2 linked regions of the Stegostoma tigrinum genome follow. The protein of the gene in region 2 interacts with the protein of the main gene of each other region in a biochemical or structural test. Links are inferred from orthologs where the notes say so. Each region holds a gene or a part of one and is shown on either strand. Other genes may lie near its edges.

What was found.
Region 1: the proteins of sh3rf1 (region 2) and RAC-beta serine/threonine-protein kinase form a complex in vitro, tested with the Homo sapiens proteins (2 studies listed by BioGRID and IntAct, with this or other methods). The link is inferred for Stegostoma tigrinum from reciprocal best matches to the Homo sapiens genes SH3RF1 and AKT2.

The regions. Positions count from the first base shown.
Region 1 is NC_081392.1:8,806,218-8,813,772, forward strand, and holds the start of RAC-beta serine/threonine-protein kinase, read right to left. Parts: upstream 3,091-7,555; 5' UTR 2,949-3,090; intron 1-2,948. UniProt on the Homo sapiens protein: Serine/threonine kinase closely related to AKT1 and AKT3. All 3 enzymes, AKT1, AKT2 and AKT3, are collectively known as AKT kinase.
Region 2 is NC_081356.1:127,442,699-127,450,700, reverse strand, and holds the start of sh3rf1 (E3 ubiquitin-protein ligase SH3RF1), read right to left. Parts: upstream 3,087-8,002; 5' UTR 3,001-3,086; intron 1,447-3,000; exon of another isoform or gene 1,398-1,446; intron 1,333-1,397; exon of another isoform or gene 1,255-1,332; intron 904-1,254; 5' UTR 754-903; coding exon 358-753; intron 1-357. UniProt on the Homo sapiens protein: Has E3 ubiquitin-protein ligase activity. In the absence of an external substrate, it can catalyze self-ubiquitination. Stimulates ubiquitination of potassium channel KCNJ1, enhancing it's dynamin-dependent and clathrin-independent endocytosis.

The sequences.
Region 1 (7,555 bases), on a different chromosome or scaffold from region 2:
CAGTTCTTTCTGGAAACATGTCCTTCCACACTTAAATCGTCCACCTTTCAAAATCCTTCAGAGGTTATATTGCATTTATGAATCTGCCTCATCACCAGAGTGGACAATTGACACAGTCCTCACACAGGGCTCAGTGCATCAGACAGTTGGATCAGAACATTTGCTGCTCTTGTCCCAGACCAGGCATTAGCCTCAGAATTGATTTACTGAGAACAAAACTCTCTGCCCAATTGCATTTCTCAACCTGAGAAACTCACTCACTTTCTCAGCATCACATAAAAAAATAGGAACAGGAGAAAGCCATTTGGTTCTTCCAGACCATTTACCATTCAATGAGATTGTGGCTGATCTTCTACTTCAAAACCATTTTCCTGAAATATTCGCATATCCCTCAATATCTTTAATATCTAGAAGTCTATTGTCTTGAACATGCAGGATAGAGAATTCCAAACACTCACCACAATTCTCAATATTCTTACTCATCTATGTCCTTTTGGGGAAACCAAGCGGAGGCTTGGGGACCACTCTGCAGAACACCTACGCTCGGTTCACAATAAACAACTGCACCTCCCAGTTGCAAATCATTTTAACTCCCTCTCCCATTCCTTAGATGACATGTCCATCATGGGCCTCCTGCAATGCCACAATGATGCCACCCGAAGGTTGCAGGAACAGCAACTCATATTCCGTTTGGGAACCCAGCAGCCCAATGGGATCAATGTGGATTTCACCAGCTTCAAAATCTCCCCTCCCCCACTGCATCCCAAAACCAGCACAGCTTGTCCGCCTCGCTAACCTGTTCCTCCTCTCACCTATCCCCTCCTCCCACTTCAAGCCACATCTCCATTTCCTACCTACTAACCTCATTCTGCCCCCTTGACTTGTCCATCCTCCTCAGACTGACCTATCCCCTCCCTACCTCCCCACCCATACTCTCCTCTCCACCTATCTTCTCCTCTATCCATCTTGAGTCTGCCTCCCCCTCTCTCCCTATTTATTTCAGATTCCTCTCCCCATCCCCCTTTTCTGATGAAGGGTCTAGGCCTGAAATGTGAGCTTTTGTGCTCCTAAAGATGCTGCTTGGCCTGCTATGTTCATCCAGCTCCACATATTATTTGGGATATCAGCTCATTTCACTCCTCTCTGAGAAGGCTGCGCGATGAAGCAACACAGAGCAGCCAACTCTCGAAATGAGAGCCGACAGCAGCTTTGCAAACAGCAATCACTTGCAATCTCTTCTAGTATGGACAGGAGCCATTCTCCATCAGTCAGTCCGGAGTACAGTGACAATTTAATTCCACGTGCATCACTTGCATCTGAATGACAATGCTGGGAGTAATCCAACAGTTTCACTCGTAAGGAGCAGCAAGTGTCATTCAGTGTGATGTCTTGTTTACACGGTAAAACAAAGCTAACAACAACTTAAGTATCCAAGTCTCAATGCGCGCTGTTTAAAAGTCATGAGGCTGAGCATGCTTGGAAGCCAATTCACATCTAATCTGAAGATCAATGCTTGGATTCAACTCTAACATCAGCATATTACAGTACGATAGTCATCTCCTTTAGTGTTACCACTATCAAATCTATCACCACTTCCTTCTTTTGGAATACAGTTTGTAATGAACTGGAACCAGTGCCGAGAAAAGTGCTCGTTGGCGTGAATTTACATAGCCTCTGCTGTCAACCAGCCAGTCTGCCTGTGAACGGGTTGCAAAGATGCCAGGGGCTACACATGGTGTTTCAGCATGATCAGGTTTATGGTTCACCCAAGACTCCACAGGTTGTTGACTCCCCTTCCCAAGCATCTCTACCTACACGTAGCCAACAGCCATTCAGAAATAGGCTACAATGCCACCACCATCAAGCCCAGTTAGTAGTAATAGACTGCCTTCATGCAGACAGGGTGGGAAATCAAACACCAAAGGTACGGATCTTACTATAAAATAAAGGTGACCATTATAAGTTGCATGTGCCAATAAACTACTTTCATCCAGGGCGGGGGGGGGGGGGGGGGGCGGGGGGGGGGGGGGGGGGGGGGGGGTGATACCATGCACTTTACCTAATCAGGGAGGGGCAGGATGTCTTGGATCTCTCATGTCCAAAATGAATTGAGGGGGTAGTGGCAAAAAGGCAGATCCTCTCATTGAAAAGGAAAGCAGGCTCCCTGATCCAAAGGGATTGGGCAAGCTAGCCCTCCACCAGGCCAAAGAGACTGGGCAGATCCCACCACCACCATCCCCACACCCCTCAGGCCAAAGAGACTGGGCAGATCCCACCACCCCCACACCCCTCAGTCCAAAGGAGATGAGCAGATCCCACCACCCCCACACCCCTCAGTCCAAAGGAGATGGGCAGATCCCACCACCACCATCCCCACACCCCTCCGGCCAAAGGAGATGGGCAGATCCCACCACCACCATCCCCACACCCCTCAGGCCAAAGGAGATGGGCAGATCCCACCACCACCATCCCCACACCCCTCAGGCCAAAGGAGATGGGCAGATCCCACCACCACCACCCCCACACCCCTCAGTCCAAAGGAGATGGGCAGATCCCACCACCACCATCCCCACACCCCTCAGGCCAAAGGAGATGGGCAGATCCCACCACCACCATCCCCACACCCCTCAGTCCAAAGGGACTGGGCAGATCCCACCACCACCATCCCCACACCCCTCAGTCCAAAGGGACTGGGCAGATCCCACCACCACCATCCCCACACCCCTCAGTCGAAAGGGACTGGGCAGATCCCAAAATCCCTCCCGCAGTCCGAAGGAATTGGGTTGATCCTGCCCCCAGTCTAAAAGAATCGTGCAAATCCCACACCCCGAATCCAAAGGAAGGGACAGATTCCCCCCTCCCGACCCCCGGAGGCCGCGCTCCCCTTCCACCGCAGGCGCGGGGTTCCCGTTTTCCGAGGCGGCCGCTCACTCATCCCGCCCCAATACCTGGAGCCTTGTTGTGGGGCAGTTTGTATGTTGGGCTCGGGGGGCCCGAGCTCCGGCCTCTCAGTCTCTGTCTCCCAGGCTCCTGTCTCTCAGACTCCGCGGGAAGGCCCGGCTCCCGGACATGACTTGGGAGGCTGGCGGAAGTGGCGATCTCGCCGGGCATGACGGGTAGCAAACGATTCTCGCCAATCAGAACCCACGCTGCTGCGGATGGCGGCGGCAGCCAATCGCCAAGCGGGAAATACAGACCAATCAGGGGTGGGGCTGAGGTGAGGTGGCGGACCATAGCAACCATCCTTGACCCAAGCAACCATCCCATAACCTGACAACCCTCCATAGCTTGGTAACCATCGCAGACACTAGCAACCATCCCATAACTATTCCAGATAGTAGCTTGGTAACTATACCATAGCCGAGCAACCATCCCTGACCCAACCAACCATCCCATAGCTTGGCAACCATACCATAACTTGGTAACAATACCATTTCCTGGCAATAATCCAATAACCTGGCAACTATACCATGCCCAAGCAAACATCCCACAGTGTGACAACCATCCCATAGCTTGGTAATGATCACATACACACCCAATCAACCATCCCATAGTTGAGCAACCATCCCATAGCCTTACAACTGTTCCATTCCCTTGAAGCCATACGATAGCTTGGCAATTATACTGTAGAATCCTACAGAACGGAAACAGACCCTTTGGTACAATTTGTCTGAACTTTCACACCGACCAGGTTTCCCAAACTAAACTATTCCTATTTCCTTGTGTTTGGCCCATATCCCTCTGAACTTTTCCTATTAATGTACCCATATAGATTGGTAACTATATCATCGCCTGCGAATCATCAATATCCTAGCAATCATACCATGTCCTCATAACTAACTATACTATAGCCAAACAGCCATCCCATAGCTTGGTAACTGTCCCATAGTTGAGTAAACATTCTATAACCTGGTAAGCATGCCATAGCCTTGTAACATTCCCTTACCCTGGCAACCATCCCATAGCCTGATAACCATTCTATGACTTGGCAACCATGCTGTGCTCTCAGTTCCGAGTTCAGGTAGAGCCCATCAAACAGTATAGTTTCCTCCTGTCCCAGTACCAGTGCCATTATGCCATGAAATGGAAGTCATCTTCACTGCATCATGTCTTCAAGCATTGTTCACACTTTTAAATTTGCCCCAGTGTCAATTTGCATATGACTCAGATAATAATCCGAAAATTGTTTAATCTTGAAATCCTGTACTTTAACTCCCAGTTGCTGGTACTCTACCAGCAGGACCTCTTGTCTGCTCTTTTCTATATTGCTGGCCCCAACATGGACTACAACAATTAGATCCTTCTCGCTAAAGAGCCACAAAAGCATCAAGAGCTTTGAAAACAAAAATTGACGTTTTAAAATCAAAGTCTCAATGATCCAGGAGCCAGCATAGGTAGGTACGCACTCCATACAGAAAAAGGAAAAGAATAAATGCATTTATGCAGCAGGTCAGAGGCTAGGAATCCTGCAGTGACTAACTCACCTCCAAAGCTTATCCACCATCTACAAAACACAACTCAATGGAAAACTCACCATTTGCCAGGAGTAGTCCAGTTCCAACAAGTCTCAAGAAGCTCCCTCCCTAACAGCACTGTGCGACTACCTACGGAAAATGAAATGCAACGTTTCAAGAAGGCAGCTCACTATCACCTTCTCAAAGGTAACTAGGAACAGGCAACAAATACAGGTCCAGCCAGCAATACCTGCATCCGTTAATCAATATTCTGGGTGATTTATCCATCCAGATGTTTAAGTTGATTGTGTGCTTCCAATCAAGTGAGCTGTTCCTTGATGGTGCAAAGATTATTGAATTATTGCAGCTGTATCCACCCAGGCAAGCTTCCCATCACACCTCTGACCTGTGCCTCGTAGAAGATGCAACGGCCTTTGGGAGTCTGGATGCAGAATTCCAGCTTCCAAAAAGTTATGCAGCTGTTCCACTTGGGTTTCCAGTCAAATATGACCCTTGGGTTATTGTCAATACAGTTTAATATATTACAATGAGTCAGTTGCACTTGAATTGTTTTTGGTGAGATGTTTGCAATAAGTTTGTATGAAGTGCATTAAATAAGTTTTGCTATTAAGTTTGTCGCAAACTTAGCCAAATTGATTATACTGTTTGCATCACATTGGATAATTTATCTTTGATCAGTTATATCTGACTGATCCTGTTGAATGAGTTACAGCAGATTCCTCAAATAAAATGATTTGCATTGGACAAGTTGCATTGAGCGATTTGTAGTCAGGGCTTGTATTTATGTAGCACCCACGGTATTTTGGAAGATTCCATAGCCAACTTGAGAGCAGCAAACTCCCACAAACAAAATTGTGATTAATAAACGACCTGATTATCTGTTTTTGTGAAATTCATTGAGGGAGAATGACGGGACACTAGGGACAGCTCACTTGACCTTTTATAGCATGGGCTTCGGTTTAGAATCATTTCCAAATAAAACACTTCTACTACCTCAGCTCATCAGTACCGCTCTGGAATATTCTGACTTGGAGACAAAAGTTATACCAACGGAACCACACTTAGAACAGAATGCCTACAGTGTGGAAGCATTCAGCCCTTTGAGTCCACACTAACCCTCCCAAGAGGGTCCCACACAGATGCACCCCATCCACGTAACCCTACATTCCCCATGGCTAACCCCATAGCCTGCATATCCCTGGACACTATGGGCAATTTAGCATGGCCATCCACTCTAACCTACACATCTTTGGACTGTGGGAGGAAACCGCAGCAACCCCACGTGGACAGGGGGAGAATGTGCAGACTCCATATAGGCAGTCGTTCGTGACTAGAATCAAACCCAGGTCCTTGATGCTGTAAGACAGCGGTACTAAACACAGCCACTGTGCCACCCCAAGTTGACAGATAGATGAGTTGCATTGATTAAATGTTTTTAGAGGGAGCTGTGCTAGGTGAAGTGAATTGGATTATTTACATTCAGGTGGTTACCTTGCAAGACGTTTCTTGGATGTTCTCTAATTGTGGGTGTGCGTGAGAGGGAGAAAGTGGAAAGTGTAAGCAAGTTACATTGCATCATGTCGGATGGGTTTCTTTGAGAACTTCGGTAGCTAATTAATTGAATTGGGCGACCTATGGAGAATGAATTCAATTGCATAAGTTGCATTGTGTGACTTCTGTTGGGCAAGTTGTTTTGAGCAAAGCGACATTTTTTGTTCCTACTATCTCTGTAACAATTGTTTTTGTTTGAGTGTCTTTGGGAGCTGCGCTTGCTGAGTTGTGTCGGATGAGGTGCTTTACATAATTTTGCAATGTTAATTAATTGCATCGCGTTGGGAATAGTTTACAGCATGAGTCTTCGGGGTGAATTCTGCTAATTGAGCTGTGTTGGGTGAATTACAGCAGGTTATTCATGTCGCATATACTATATTGCATGAGTCGTATTGCGTGTACTGTGTTACGTAAGTCGTGTTTAGTCAAGTTGTATTGGAAGAGTTACTTTAAGATAATCCGGCTTGCACTTAGCTAGCACCTTCGTGGCATCCCGAAGTGCTTTAAAGTCAGTTATGCATTAAAAAATACACGTATGGTATTGTGGAAGATTCCGCAGCCAACATGAGAACAGCGAGCTCCCAGAAACAAGGATGCGATTAGTAAATGACCATATCGCCCATTTTTGTGAAATTCGTTGAGGGATAATTACAGAACACTAGGGAGAGCTTTCCTGCCTTTTTATATCATGCTGCTTTCGTTTAGCATCGTTTCCAAAAATAAACACTTCTGCGACTACTTTTGATTCAGATGCACTGTTATGTTGGAGAAACTTGAGAAGTTGCGTTGAATTATATGGAATGAACTGCACTAAGTGCTTTTTTCAGTATTAAATTGTTGGGCGATGTTCTGCTGGATGAGTTATATTTTTGGTGAGTTTGATTGAGTGAGTCCTGTTGTGTGAGCTGCAACTGTCCGCTGCCCATGTCCTGACTTGTACCAAATCGTGTTCAACCATCATTACTGTGCTACTGATCTATGTCTACAGCCAGTCAAGCAATACCTCAATTTAAAATTCTTCTGTTTGTTTGCAAATCCCTCCAAGACTCTCCCCTACCCCCACCCTCGCCCCCACCATCTCCGCAATAAGTTCCACCCTAACCATTATACCAGACATCTGCTCTGATCTAATTATAGCCCCTTGAGAATCCTTGATCTTAATCACCGCCCCCCCCCCCCCACCATTGTTTGTTTAAGAACCAGACGCAACTATTGGTTAGACGGGGTCCAGGCATAGATTCTTCTGGAAGAGTTTCACTTGGGGTGGTACAGTGGCTTAGTGATTAGCACTGTTCTCTCACAGCACCAGGGACCCAGGTTTGATTCCACGATTGAGCGACTGGCTGTGTGGAGTTTGCACATTCTCCCTGTATCCTCAGGGTGCTTTGTTTTTCTTCCAATATCCAAAGATGTGCAGGTTAGGGTGAATTCGCCATGCTAAATTGCCCAGAATAGGTGGAATCGCCATGGGAAATGCAGGGATAGAGTAGGGGTCCCTTTGGAGGGTCAGTGTGGACTCAATAGGCCAA
Region 2 (8,002 bases):
TGATGAAGTTAAAAGAATTATTAATACGAGAGCCCTCTTGAACACTAAGTCAGCAGTGTTTCTTGATCACATGAGTCTTCAATCTTAATAAATGACAAAACAGACTTGAGGACCCACACTGCATACTCCTGTTTCTGTATTGCAGGTTAATTTAATTTCTGTGTGCTGAATAGTCATTTGACCAGTTACTCATACCTCAAAAGAAAAAGCAATTGTGTATGAGCATGCATACTCATACCAAAATGACTAGAGAATATTCAAAGTTTCAACATCCAAACACTCTTCAGCCCTCAATGTTTTAGCATTAACCGCACTCACATTAACGTGACCTGCAGAGGCAAACCAAAGTGAACCTACCCTGACTGGGGGACTACGTGCCTGCACTCGATGAATGCTCTGAAGATCCCGCAACGCAGTGCCACAGTTGGGGACAGAAATAGCTCCGTTGCTTTGTACTCTGGTGGTACCATTTACGTTGTTATTGCCGTTGATCCCACTGCTACCCGGCCTCCTCGGCCGGTGTTTAATACCATCCAGTAGTCGCACCAGCAAGATGTTGGTGGGGAGTTCGTCAACGCTGCAGTCCACCAAAGTTCGGCACTCCGGGCAGCGCAGTTCGCTCCGGGAGTTTAAGATGCCCTGCAGGCACCGTCGGCAGAACGTGTGCTGGCATGGCAACACCTTGGCCGTGGCATCCAGTCGCTCTAAGCACACGGGACACTCCAGCAGGTCCAACAAAATGGATTCGTCCATTGTTTCGCACTCCGATTCCAAAGCTTCAGTCCGAGGCAGGTCTCCAGAGAAACCTCATTGTAACAAAGGTTCCGCTGAGTGATGAACAACCTGATAGCCAGCAACCTCAGTCACGTCACATCCATTCCTTTCCACTTCAACTTCAAATAACTGTTTCAGAAACCAAACAAACACAAAAATAATGGGGATACAGGATTATGGCAGTACAGAACAAGCATCTTAAAAAAAAGTTCCTGGCCATAAAAAATTAAGGAGAAATAAGGTGATTATTCTTCCCCATTAACTGCATCAAAGTTACATATAATGATTTGCTCTTTCTCAAAAAATATCTACAGAGGTCTCCTAAATAAACAACGTAGCAACAGAGCTTTATTAGCAATAAGGTTACACATAAGCCATAATGCAATGCTACTCCTTCGTCCAAAATAATCTAAAAGTCAGGTTTTTTTTAAATCGGGGCTGCGAACGACAGCATGTAGGTGGGACTAAACATTTAGCTACCGAAGAATGCCGACAGAAACAGCTGGATGGACCGAATGGTTCCGAATAAGAGCTCCAGTCCCTTCTGCAGAGCCCGGCAGACCATCAGCTGATTGCTGGGGAAGCCGCGCACACAAGCAGCTGGGGGGGGGGCAGCGACTTACCCCGAGTGGAGCGAAACGCGAATGCGTGTCGCTGCTTCAACAATATCCCAGTCTTTCAAACAGTCTATTCCCCACCCTCCCCGCCAGCTCTACAAGCTCCAATCCCAATCCAGCAAACCGCAGGGAATGACATGACGCCAGAGCGAATTACTCACTCTGCAATTGGGGGGGGGGGGAGAATACAGACCATTGCACCGCCGCCTTCAGCACAACTCCCACGTTTTCCCCCCCCTCCCCTCCCAACCATCCGAAAGGGCTACACATTCTCAGGCAGCTGCAATGTTTCAAAGGCGAAGAATCGTCCGCCAGCGTACAGGCAGATTCACGGGGCAACTCTGCAGATAAAAAAAGTGCAGGAGAAGCTGCCGGCGACCGTTGAGGCTCGTTCCTGCAGCATCGCAGAGGCGGCTGGTCACAGACACATAGCCCAAGGCTTGTGGATTTGAACCAGATCCACTCCCATTCGTTCACTTAGTTCTGAGTGAGATGACTTCCCAAATTAAGGTACATCACACACACAACACAGCGCTTAAAAAGGTTTAACACACTCGACTACACTGCAATATAATTTGGACAAACTAAATTCCGAGAGAACAAAAATCATGTCTTGGAAATATTCCTAAACTCACTGAGATTACAGTCAACCTTTTGGGAATTGTGACAAAAAAGACAATGATTTGAAAGCTTTACACTAATGGGCGCCCTAATCAGTGGGGAAGAGTGAGTTTCAGATCTCGTCTGTCAATCTGTCCGCCTTTCAGCACAGTATCGAGCGACCACTCGGGATTTTGGGCACTTGATTAGAAAGGACCGTGTCGCATTCGGGATTTCTTTGTCAGAGACTTGCTACATCGTTAATCAGTGGAAAACAGCGGGAGTGAAGGGGGAATTTTAAGACATTTCGGGGCAGAACCATGGAGAGGTTCTCGATTAACATTTTACCCAAAAAAAAACTTGCTGGTAGAGAAGGGGGATGTCGGTGGGAGTGGAGGAAGAGAGAGAAGGGGGATGTCGGTGTGAGTGGAGGAAGAGAGAGAAGGGGGCTGTGGGGAGGCGGGGTGGTGAGGGGGTATGGTAAGGGGGTGAGGGAGGGTGGAAAGGGGGTGAGGGAGGGTGGAAAGGGGGTGAGGGAGGGTGGAAAAGGGGTGAGGGAGGGTGGAAAGGGGGTGAGGGAGGGGGTGAGGGAGGGGGTGAGGGAGGGGTGAGGGAGGGGGTGAGGGGGGAGGGAGGGGGTGAGGGAGGGGGTGAGGGGGGAGGGAGGGGGTGGGGGTGAGGGGGGGAGGGAGGGGGTGGGGGTGAGGGGGGGGAGGGGGAGGGTGGTGGGGGTGGGGTGAGGCGGGGGGGCTGCGGTGAGGGAGTAGGGTAAGAGGGTGGGGTGGCGTGAGAGACGGGCCGCCACTTCCCCTTCACACTAACCTCGGGAGTCAAAACACAACCAGCCCCGGGAAGTGCCTCTTGCCTCACTCAGCCTCCTCTCTTTAATCCCTCCTGCCTCTCCCCTTGACCCCTCTCTCCTCCTCTAATTCTCCCTCACCCCCATCTTTCTGTCTGTGTCTGTTTTTCTCTCTATGTTTATGTTTATTTTTATCTCTCCCTCCCTCACCTCTTCTTCTTTCTCTTCTCGGAGCCGCCGCTGTTGCCAGGCCGCCCAGCGACCGATATGCGCAAGCGCCGCGAGCAGGGTCCACGCCTGCGCAGTGGGCTGGCCTGCGGCTGGAGAAGTTACGAACGCTACGGACCACTCCCCCCCCCCCCCCCAAACAAACAAAGACAAAACTACAAACTAATCCAAAAGTTTTACAACAATAGTGCAAAGTCACCTTATATCTGCCGAGCCACTCACAAATAGGACTGGGAGTAGTTTAGTAGATTAAATGTAACTTTGTAAAGAGCAGATTCACACTATTTATCCATTCTGACAGGGGCCGGAGCTGCCCTTGAAATGAGTGGCTTGTGAGGGCATCTCAGGGGACACGTGCTCCATGTTGCTGTAGGTCTGCGGTCACATGTAAGCCACACAGGTGAGGATGACCAAAACCTACAAAATTCTAACAGGACAGGTATATGCAGGAAGGATGTCCTCAATGAAGAGAGCCCAGAACCGGGAATGCCACAGTCTAAGGGTATGGGCTAAATCAATCAGAATTGAGGTCAGGCAAACTCTCTTCACCCTGAGAGTGCTGAGCCTGTGGCATTTTCTACACAATCAAGGCCAAAACATTGAATAATTTCAAGAAGAAGTTGGATATAGCATTTGGAGCTAAAAGGACATTATGGGGAAAATCAGGAACAGGCTGTTGAGTTGATGAACAGCCTTGATCACTTGTATGGTGGAGCTGCCTTGGAAGGCAAAATGGACTATTCCACCTCCTATGTTAATATCCTTCCAAACATTGGTGAATCAGGTGTGTTTTTGTACCAACCAGCAGTTATTCTGATTAGTTTTATATTCCAGATTTAATAAGTTGCAGTATGTTGCACTATGTCACAGTACCAGAGATCAACGTTCAAGCCTTGGCCAACTGTCTGTGTGGAATTTGCAGATTCTCCCCATGTCTGCGTGGGTTACTGCCAGGCGCTCTAGTTTCCTCCCACTGTCCAAAAATATGCAGATTAGGTGGATTAGCCATGCTAAATTGTCCATAGTGACCAGAGATGTGTAGGTTGTGGATTAGCCATGAAATTTGGAAGGATACGGTGGGGTGGGGGTGGTCAGATGCTCTTTGGAGGGTCAATGAGGACACAATGGCCCAAATGGCATCTATCTGCACTGCAGAGATTTTACTGTTGTCTGATTTCTCCTTAAACAAGTTAGACAACTCCAACCAGAAAGTTATGAAATAATTTGCTTAGGTCTCTCATCATACCAAAGCAGTCAAATCAGTACAAACACAGAACCAATGCAAAACAGTCCCATCTTTATTAGGAAAAAAGTTACAATAATCTTCGATATTAAACATATCTTCTCAAATCCTATTTAACCCTTAAGGTTACAATAATTCCTGAGTTTCTTGTAGATTTATGCAGTTGCTCACTCTCTGGGTCTGTGAAGCTGCTTTCTTTCTTTCTCTCTGTCTCTCTCTGGATGGTCAGCTAGTCTCTTTGGAAGCCCACAGATGATTTCAAGAGAGATTCCAAGAGGCAGGTGAACCCTGTTTTTACACCTTTTAGATGGTTTTCTGGAACTTTGTATAGTTCTAACCAATCAGGGATATACACATAATAGTTTGAAGCATTCAATCATTTGGATGGCACGCCACTGTTAGTTTCTTTGTTTAGCAGGACCCGGTGCCTTTCTGTCTGGGCCCACCTTTGTTTAGTGGATAAGTTGTTGGGGATGTCTGTCCAAGATAACTGTTGTCTTTTACATTATACTAATGTCATTAGCAGCAGTTGTGTTTGCACTGTGTCTGATGGGTGGGTTTTGTGACTTCAGAGTTCTACTTGTACAGTGTACCCAGCACCCTTGTTGTTTGGCCAAATTAGCAATCTATCTGTGTTTTAGCAGCCAGGAGGCTGCTACACTATGATCTATGAATACTCTCTCATTCCAGTCATGATGGCACAAAAGCCACAGAGGTTTTCTTCTCCCATCCCCTTAAATGGTCTGGTGAGCTCTGGTAACAGTGAGAACAGCAGTGGGTTTTGTCCACTTCACAAACTTTTATCCTCTTATTTTACACTATGTGCTTTTTCTGACTGAAAAACAAATAGAAAGACACAACCTCTGCTCTAGAGTCAGAGACCTGCTTCAAAACCAGGACCTGTTCGAAGATTGCAAAACATTGAGAGAGAACCTTGCTTATTTTCTTTCTTCGTTAATTCACAATGTGTTCTGAGCTTCCAATCCTGTTGCAGTTAACATTTTATTTACCCTTTGCAGCTAACAAGGGCATTTCCTTCAACCAAATGAATCTTGCAGGTATATCGCACTGAAATTAACCAAAGGTTTCACAAAATATATTTGACCACCACTCCACTCAGCCAGCAGCCAGACAGACAGCCCCAGCTTCTTCAATCTATCCACGTAACACCTGGAGCTGGTTTCATTAATCTTTTCTGCAGTCTTTCAAATGCCTTAGCAAATGAGAAGCTGTTTCACCTTGTTCAGAACAGTAGAAACAGAGACCATGGCATTTACCTGAAAAGGGGAGTAAATTCATAACTAATCTACAGATAAACTATTTATATTGACCAAGGAGTAAATCCTAGGAACAGTCCCACCAGGGCATTGTTATTCAATACATCCACCCCTCATTACAGGTGGCTAATTGTACTTCTGTTGAAATAAATAACGAGTCACAGTCAAACATTGGGCATGTCATTTGCAAACTCATTCTCACGAAGTATGCATGTGAACTTTAACCTGTTTGGTTGTTTGGTGTAAAGCTGTGTACGTATGGACACCCTTTTAGATCAATATTTGTGCACCTTTGTGGATTTAAATGTCAACTGTGTCAACTCTTGCCTCTGAGTCAGAAGGTTCAAGTTGTACTGCAGGGCTTGAGCACAAAACTCAACAACACTCTCACATAGTTCTGTTAAAGCATAGCACCCTCAGAGGTGCAATCTCTCAGAAGCAATATTAAACCGATGCCTTGTCCACCTCCTCAAACATCATCACAAAATCAGATGACCTGTTTGTTATTGAATTTACTGCTTCTGGGAGTTTGCTGTGTGCATTTTGGCTGCTGCCTTTCTTAAATTGACTTCAGAACTATTTAATTAGCTGTACACACTTTGTCATGTCTTAACATTGTGAACATTGCAAGAATGCTTTTTGTTGTAAAAGCAAAATACTGCGGATGCTGAAAATCCGAAATGAAAACAGAAAATGCTGGAGAAACTCAGCAGATCTGGCAGCACCTGTGGAGTGAGAAACAGGGTTAATGTTTAAGAATCTGGTATTAGTCTTCTTCCAAACAAGAATCTTCTTTCGTTTCAACAAGAGTCATATGGGACTCAAAACATTAACTGTATTTCTGCTTGCACAGATGCTACCAGACCTGCTGAGATCCTCCAGCATTTTCTGGTTTTATTCAAAATTTTTTTGTTGTCTGCAAACGTATTTGTGGCACTTTCCCCAGAATCATCATGGCTATGCTCATGACTTGTCAGCAATCCGTACTTGTCAACAGTAGTGCGACAGAGATAGAAACATAGCAACAAGAAGAGGCCATTCAGCCCATCGAACCTGCTCTGCCATGTAATATGATCATGGCTGACCGAACTCCTCAATGAGTTTTACCTCCTCCAGACACTCAAAGGTTAATCAACCTCTACATTAAATATGCTCACAAAGATTGTGTTGATTCAACCACATACAAATGGACATGAACACTGCATGTAAAAGAAGCATGTCAAAATTATCTGGTTTCCTGGCTAGTAAAGGGAAGCTTAGAGGCTCAGTTTGCAGTGAACTTCTCATAGCATCATATTGTACATTTATTTTTCACAGTGATTAATTCTATTAGTTCCCTCTAATCAGAGCTGTCATCAACAGGAAAGTGTTAGCAATGCATTAAAGGCGAGACCACAATTCCCCAACTCCCTTCAGCAAATGTGTGATGATATATTTGATACAGTACAACACCGCTAATCCGGGCACTGTTAGCCATCAGTAATACAAGCAGTGTTCAGTTGCTTTGAAGAGCATTTCACAAGGCTGTGCACAATGGATTGGTCAAACCACATTTAGAATATTGATTTCAGTTCTGGGCAGCTTGCCATGCACTCATAACATGTTATAGAAAAGAGCAGCAAGACTGGTCTCCGGTGTAAAAGGATGAGTTCCAAGGCAAAGTTAGAAAATCTTTACAGGCCTGATAAAAGGTCATTAACAGGAGACCTTATCCAATGATTTGTATGCTTTGATGTGGTATACGTTCTTTAATACTACAAAGTTGGACCAAAGGATAAAGGTGGAAATTGTTAAGGAGTAAATTTAGAATATATGGAGCAGCAGAATGATAAACATCTGGATTAAACTCCAAAAGAGGTTGAATCCCTTGGCTAGAGAGTGTAGAACTTAAGGGCACAGACTCAAAATCAAGGGGCTGATCGTTTAATAATGAGGCATGAAAGAAATTCCTAACTCTGGAGTTCATACACTTTGGAATTCTCTACCCCATGAGACACGGATGCTCATTGGTTGAGTATGTTCAAGGCTCTGATACAGTTTTGTACACTTGGAAATTCAAGTGTGTAATGATCAGGCAGGAAAGTGGTTACAAAGTCAAAGATCACCCATGGTATCATTGAATTGAGGAGCAGGTTCATGGGGCTACCAGATAGTTTACTCTTGTTACCACATTTTTGTATTTTACAAAGTGATGTGATCACCTCAAAACACTTGACTTACCCAAAACTTAATTCATAACATGCTGGCTGCTTTCAGGTAGATAAGGATGGATGGCAAAGCCATAAATACTGATTTTTTATGTTCCTGCTATTTTGGAATTGAAAGGAAAATGAAAGCAAACAGATGGTTACTAAGGGAAGAGCAGGAAAAGGCATGGGCACGCCAATGGAAACAATGGTTGACAGGGACAGTTTTGCTGCATTTGTCGGAACATTATCTTCCTTTTTCACCTGGTAATACCAAC